Coturnix japonica: one gene and its partner. The protein of the gene in region 1 purifies or fractionates together with the protein of each later gene. This does not show direct contact. Links are inferred from orthologs where the notes say so. Each region holds a gene or a part of one and is shown in the gene's direction. Other genes may lie near its edges.

Region 1 (3,511 bases):
ACCGCTACTCCGGAGAGGAGAAGACCTACAAGTCAGAGAAGGTCTCCAATTCCCTCTATATCAACGGTGACCTGCGTAAGAGTGAGAAGGTGAAGATGGACATCTGTGGGAATGTGACCACCAACAATGAGAAGAACATGCCGCCTCCTCCCCAGTACCGAGAGCCCAGTAACCCACCAAAGATATTGCCAATCTCCGGCAAACTAGACCAGGTGAGAACTCCTGCCTCCTGGAGCAGTGTAATGGTTGTGACTTGGCTCTAAAAGCACCACCCAGTTAATGGTGTAATTCTGACAAACAGTCTAATTCTTACTATGCAGATGGTCAATTTTTATTTACAATTCATATAATACTTACTACCTTTGTGGGGCAAAGGAGAATGCTAGTTCTGGAAAAATCCAATAGCATGATAATAAGTCTTTCAGAGCTAAGCTTCCAGTTCTTTGAATTATTTAACCCACCTGAGTTACTGTGATTATCTCTCCTACTGACAGAAGGGAGAACTGGAGCTGGTCCTCTTTTCAGTCAGCCCAGCATCAGTCAAATTCTTATTTTGGAGCCATTTACAGGCCATCTCCTATGGCCCACTGCCACAAAAAGGTCTTACTTGAATGAAGCTGTGTGTATCCGTTCAAAATCCTAGTGCTTCTGGTGAGGGGCAATCTGATGAGGCTTGTAAACTACCCCTGCAAACATTATTCCCTGTCCAAGCACAGTCCTTGTGGCTCATATCAGCTTAGCAGATGCCCAGAGCCCAGATGTTTTATGCAGCCTGCTGCTGTGCTCCAGCAGATCCCATAATTTGTGTCCAAGGGAGGCTGCCAGAAGCAGTGTCGTTTCAGCAGCATTTGGCGGCCTTGTCTCGTGGGCCATTAACCTGATGGCTCCCGTAGTCCATCTCAATCCCACGTGACAGATGCCAGATTTTTGGTCTCCAGCCTTTTCTGCTCATCAGGACTCATTGTGTTTCTTCTGCAAGGCACTTTCAAATACAAGGTCGATTCCTCTGGGCTAATTTTCACCTGAAGCCCAACCCACAGTAGGGAGAGACTCAATCCTATTTTGAGGAGAATTTTATTTCTGTAGGTGCACTCATGGGGAGAGGAATGTGCAAGACTTCAGAGGTTCTAAAATCCTCTGTAAATCCTTTGCAGCTGCAGTCCATTTTCTCTCCAGCATCATGTCTGCTCACAGGAAACAAACAATTCAAATCGGGAGCAGCTTCAGCATGTTACTTGCCCAGCATCACAATGATGAGGCCATAGATCCCACCTACTCTTGCCTACTGCATGAAGGATATGATATCCACGTAGAGGAGCTGACTGCCTAGTGTTTCAAGAGCAGGACAGCTGCTCATCCATGGGGTTAATTCAGTTTTCAGCAGAAGGGAAATGCAGCCTCCAATCTAGGTGTCCTTCAAAACGTAACCTGCCAAAATCAAAGTTATTTTATCAGGTCTGATAAGCAGGTGACAGCCTTTCTTTTAGCAAAGAGCACCAGTAAGAGGTTGAATTGAGTATTCTGGGGAAAAAATCATGCAGATTTGGGATGGGTCAAGCTCTTCTTTCAACAGGGACAAAGGAAGATGAATTGTTAACTTATGAGTATCCAACTCCTCTCAGGTTTCACGTGTTAAATCCTAAATGACCAAGGATGTGTTAGGGCTAAGAAATATGGAACTAGCTAGCTGGAGAGGCCTCAGCTCCACCAGACCCAGCCTGTGTTGATGTATCTTTTGTGTGTGTCATTATCAAATGTCCTGCTGTCTTTGATGCGTGGTCCTTTTTCCTTTTGCAGAGCAATGAGCCCTTAGTTAGACCCTCAGCCTTTAAACCCGTAGTTCCTAAAAACTTCCATTCCATGCAGAACCTCTGCCCGCCGCAGAGCAACGGGGTGACAGAGAACAGGAAGAGCTTGAACCACACCAACAGCAATAGCCCATCTGCACCCAAAAGCGGACTCGACAAGAGCAGCCTTAACAGGACTACAAACCAAGTGGGAGGCCTTTCAGATTCGGGCCGTAACTCGTTAACGAGTCTGCCCACGTATGGGACAGGCTACAGCCAGCACGTGGGCCCGATGAGCGCCTCGACGAGCCACATCAACCGCATCGGCACGACCTACACGGACAAGAACATCGTGGGATACAATGGGATATCTACCTCAGACAGCGGCCGGTCTTCGAGCAAGAGCACCTCTTCGTTCAACAGACTGAACCATCTCAATGAAACAATGCCTTTCCACTCTCCTTCGACGGACGACATCATCCAAGACTTGGAAGACAGGCTGTGGGAGAAGGAGCAGGAGGTCTTGCAGATGAGAAGGAACTTGGACAAAAGCGAGGCAGCCATCTTCCAAGTGTTTGAGGAGAAGCAGAAGATCTGGGAGCGGGAAATGGAGGATCTCAGGCAAAACTACGCCAACAAATTGCAGCAGGTCTCCAAAAAGGCGCAGAGGGCACAACAGGCCTTGCAGCTCCAGATCTTCAAGCTGCAGCAGGAGAAAAAAAAACTCCAAGATGACATGGGGCAACTCCTCCAGCAGCGAGAGGAGCTGGAGAAGAAATTTGTGGCTTTCAAGAAGGAGCAGGCTGAGTTTCTCCCAAAGATTGAAGAGACCAAGTGGGAGGTAAGAGCATTATTGTGTAAGAAATCCTGAGTGGGGTTTTCATTGATAACCCAAAGTGCCTCCATCAGTCCCACAAGCAGCCCAAGACAAGGGCTGTGGTTGGGTGGCCTGTAGATAACAGGAGACACTTCGGTCACCTTTATGTGTCTGAGGCTTAGACAGGGCTGGCAGGAGAGGAAGATGGGAAGGGTATTTCAGTCTTCAATTAAAATAAAATGAGTGCAATTTTTGTGTGTGTGTGTGCACATGCTGTGCTGGTTAATAATTAGGCTTCACTGTCAGGTCACTGCAATGTGGGACATTTGAATCCAGTTAGAGTGAATAAAGATTTCTCCATACAGGTATTTGTGCCTCCCAAAATTGGGTTTAAGCCTATTTTAATTAAATTCTTCAAACACCTGCGTCTGGGCAAAGCTGGAGATGGCTTTTCAAATATTTGATTTTTGTTCTTCTCGAGGATATAAAGCAAATGAGCTAAGGGTGATACCAATAGCCAAGTCTACCTCACGCTTTCCATTGCAGCGCACTGTTTTCAGTTGCTAATAAGTTGATCTCTCAAAAGGCTGAAAGGCAAGTTCCTCTTTCCAGGTCTTATATATTTTTTCTTCTGTTTCTATTTTTAGAACATTTTATCAAACCTCCTTTGAATAGCCAATGCTAACACAGTTTTGGTGGGTTTATTTTTTCAGCTTGATCATGCAAAGAATTTTAATCCTTCCATGGACTGGCTAGAAACTTAAAAATTATTAAGGCTGCAGTGGAAAATAGAAAGCAGCTCTAGAATCAAGAAGGCCCTATTCTGCTAATACTGATGGAAAGTCAATGAAAGTGGGATTAATTAGGGCTCTGCAATGCACTGTTTGGAGGCATTCAGCAGAGCTTA
Region 2 (4,010 bases), on another chromosome or scaffold:
GACACCGTCGTGGCGGGCAGCGTCCCCGCCTCTCCCTCCCTCCCTTCCTCACGCCCCGGAGCCCGGCGAGCCGAGTCCATCCCAGCCGGCAGCGTCGCGGCCCGCACGGCTACAGCGTCACAGCGTCACCGAGGGGAGGCGGGGAAGCAGCGGTTGCCGGGCTACGGCAGCCCGGCCCTTTACCCGTCGCTCTCTCCCTCCCTCCCCACGTCAGCGCCGTCTCCCTCCCGCTCGCCCGGGCGGGGTGGGGCAGCAGGGCGCCCTGACGGACAGTTGCCACAGCGACGAGCTCGCCCCGCCGCCATTTTGTCGGTTCGCCTTTTTTTTTTAACCTACCCCTTCCACCCACCCCCCCAAAAAAAAACCAAAAACCCCCAAACAAAAAAACCCAAACCCTTTCCCGCCCGAACCGTGGTGGCGGTTTTCTTTTAATTTATTCGCTTATTTTCCCCTTCCCCGCTTCCACTCCGAAAGACAAGAAAACAGAAGAACACCTTCAATTTTATATATGTATATATATATGTATATATCCAAAAAGGGCAATAATTCGTCCCCGAGGGTCTGCCGGAAATCCACCCCGCGCTGCGGAGCGCTGTGAGGGAGCGGTGCCGGCGCAGAGCCGCTCCGGGAGGGAGGAGGAGGAGCGGGTGGGGTGGGAGGAGGTAGAGGCTGGCAGGCGGGGGAGGGAGGGAGGAGGGAGCGAGGAGTTCCCGGGGGCTCGGTACAGCGCTGCGCTTTCCCCCCACCCCCTCCTTCTCCACCACCTCCTCCTCTTCCCCCTCCCCCCGCCCGCTCTCGCCGCCCGCCCGCCGCTGTCCCCGCGCTGCCAGGCCGGGGCTCAGGCCGCCGTCGACCGCCGCACCTCACCGAGCCGAGGCGAGGCCGGGCCCCGCCGTTGCCGCCGCCGGGCGCTGCGCAGGTTTGGAACGCGCGCCATTTTGTGAGCGATAGAAAATCCAGCCCGGCCAGGAAGCGCCGCGGATCCGCCCGCCGGGCCGGGCCGGGCCCCCCCCACCTCTCCCCGCCGCCCGGAGAAGAAGGCGCGCAGCGGGCAGACCCTGCCATCGGCACCGGCACCGCCGCCGGCCGAGCGGGCCCGAGCGCGGCGGGGCGGCCGGCCGGACTGCGGAGCGCGCAAGAGGGAGGCGCCGCCGCGCCGGGGCCCCGGGCCGAGGCCGGGGGAAGAAGAAGAAGAAGCGCTCGCTCCTCGCTCTGCCCGCCGCACCAGCAGGAGAGGAAAGGAAAGGAGAGGAAAGGAGGAGAGGAGAGGCCGCTGCCGGGAGGAGCCGGGCCGGAGCGCGGGGCTCGTACGGTGAGTGAGCCGGCGGCGGGGCGCTGCGCAGCGGGACCGGCGGGTGCCACCTCCCGGCCCGGCGCGGTCGAAGGGGGCGCAGCGCAGGGGGCAGCGGCGCTGCCATCTTAGAGAGAGGCGGCGGGGAGAGCGCGGGGCCCGGCGGGCCGCTGCCCGGCGCTGGCGGGGCGCGGAGCCGCTGCGGGCTTCGGGGCTGCCCTTCCCCGCCCTCTCGTCCGCCGCCCCCTAATGGGACAGGCCGGGGCAGCGACTGCGGCCTCTGCGGCCCTTTTCTCGTCGGTGTCCGGGAGAGGCTACCGGGATGCGAGCGAGCCGGGCCCCGGGAGCGGGGATGAAGGAAGGGAGTTCGCCCGGTTCTTCTCGCTCTGATGCGCAACGCCCTGCGGTGGGCGGGAGCGGGGTCTCGGCCCGGCCTGGGAGCGGGGAGACGAGGGTGGCAGGAGCGGGGCCGTCAGCGCGGCGGGCACCTGTTGTGGTGGCTCTGCCCGCACCTTCTGCGGGGGTCGGGGGGAGTTGGGGCCGGGGCAGGAGTACCTGAAGGAGGCTGCTGTCATCGGGCTGCGCTGGGGAGAGCGGGGAGCGGCGGCCGAGCAGCGCACCGGGACCTGCGGGGTGTCAGTAGCTGGCTGCAGCCCGCTAGGAATGGAGCTTTGTGCTGCTGGAGGTGCCAGAGACCTCCTGTGATGTGTGGGGTTCTTTTTTCCTCCGTTGTGGTGTTCCCTCCCGTTGCCACAAAATCGGAAAACACAATTAGAACTGCTGTAATTTGGAATTTCGAAATTGGTGCATTTTTGAGTTTCGATCAGCTTTGAAGTTTAGAGTTTAGTCTGCCCAAAGGCCATGTAGGGGTCCTTTGATCATGTGTCTAGATTGCTGCTGTTACTTAGTTCTCCTGTTACTCCACAGCCATCGGTGGAAATAAACATTCATTGTTCTTTAAAATTAAAATTAACAAAGGCAGAATATCTGGCTATGAAATAAATCGACAGGAATGTCTTGGACAACCTACTGTTGTAGTCCCAATGGGAGCGTGCAGGTAACTTTTGCCAGTAGGTGCACACAGTGGCTTTTACGTGGCTTTCAGCGTCGTAGGGGATCTGGATAAGTGAACAGCTCGTTTTCTTATTATATTGGTAGAGCTGAAGAATTTATCAGTAATGTTTGAGGATGAATAAAGTGATGTTTTGTTTGTAGCGGTACTTTATTATCTGTGAGTAACTGAGTAGAGTGTAACTTACCACACTGGAATAACGTAGCCTGAAGAAGTTTTGGTAGAACTTGTTTCTCCTTATCTGTACTCCCCCCAGCATCTGTAGGTTGGGTATTTTTGGAAAATTAATTATACTTTATAGAATTAGAATGCTAACGCTGAAGATAACTGTGAACACGAGCTAGTATTTCTATTATCTACTTGTATCTTGTGAACTCTGTGTGTGTGTATGTGTAGGCTACTTTTGTAGGCTGTGCTTAATGTTTTTCGCTTATACAAAATATTTAGAATCAAAGCCTTTTCATTCATGGTCAGTAGTAGAGTTCGTATGTTGGATTTACATTTGTTCTACGAATTAAAAATTGAATAAAAGTTTATGAAGCTTATGGAGTTTCAATCGTATTTCCTAAACGTTTTTGACTGAGCTGTCCAATAGCACAGTCTTCTTAAATCACAAAAGGATGCAGCCCATTCTCTTAAGTTGTTGTGTATGCACACATTGGGTTCTTTAATATTGTTTACAGGCCAGTAGGTGAGAAAGTTTGTTGCCATATTCCAGTTCCTGTATCAATACTCAGGTGTATTTGGAGTTTGCCATTGGAATCCCTTCCCCCACTGTTGGACAGTTACGGAGAAGCAGCGAGAAGGATAATTTTACCTAATAGCAGCCAAGTGGTCTCTATTTCAGTGTCAGTTTATGGATAGTGTGATCTTCCTTGTGTCAAATAAGGATGTAGTAATCAGGAATTTATCAATTTTTAAAGCACGTGGGCTGTGAACGGACTAGGAGTGAGCATATGATGGTCGTAAATAACTTCCTACACACTGGTAGATGGTTTATGCAATGGAGAAAAACATGACTGGCATCAAGTAAAAACTTAGGTTTTAACATTGTGTTTAAATAGGACGTAGCTGCTAGCATGTATGTCACAGCTTGATTCCAGCAGGGCCTTGGAAAGAAATGGGTCTGGGTTAACTATATCGTTAGGCTTTGCCTTAATGAATTTACTGGGAGTTTTTGTTAGTTCAAGTAAGTTAGCCAGTGCTTTACCAAGTGTGAAAGTCCTGAATAGGTTATGCTAATGTGTATGAAACACCTGCTTGTGTGGTTGTGTGCAAGAAGACCAGTTAATAAAACTCACCAAGAACTATTCCTTGTTTGCTGTGATGGCGTTTTATAGTTTTATCTGAACTGAAATGGGTGGTGACTCTCAGCAAAGAAGCAAGTTCTGTTGCTATAATTAGATTCTCTATTCAGTGTTCCTCTTGAAGTGGCTTTATTTCAGGTGCTTTCCAACCTGCAGTCCCGTAGTTGGGGTTAAAGTTGTTCCAGCTGATGTTCTTGGTTAGTCTACCTGCAGTCATTTTTATTGCCATTTGGCCAACTGTTTTCTAAAGTGAAGTCAAAAGTTTTCTTGATACCTTTGTTTTATGGAAGCATGGAAACCTTGTATCACTACTGAAATCCTTTTGTAAATAGATCTCGTT

What was found.
Region 2: the proteins of LZTS3 (region 1) and DYRK1A purify together in Homo sapiens (affinity purification with mass spectrometry; 3 studies listed by BioGRID and IntAct, with this or other methods). This does not show direct contact. The link is inferred for Coturnix japonica from reciprocal best matches to the Homo sapiens genes LZTS3 and DYRK1A.

Annotation. Positions count from the first base shown.
Region 1 is NC_029519.1:80,345,174-80,348,684, reverse strand, and holds part of LZTS3 (leucine zipper putative tumor suppressor 3), read left to right. Parts: coding exon 1-212; intron 213-1,797; coding exon 1,798-2,628; intron 2,629-3,511. UniProt on the Homo sapiens protein: May be involved in promoting the maturation of dendritic spines, probably via regulating SIPA1L1 levels at the postsynaptic density of synapses.
Region 2 is NC_029516.1:96,407,777-96,411,786, forward strand, and holds the start of DYRK1A (dual specificity tyrosine-phosphorylation-regulated kinase 1A), read left to right. Parts: upstream 1-1,205; 5' UTR 1,206-1,312; intron 1,313-4,010. UniProt on the Homo sapiens protein: Dual-specificity kinase which possesses both serine/threonine and tyrosine kinase activities. Exhibits a substrate preference for proline at position P+1 and arginine at position P-3.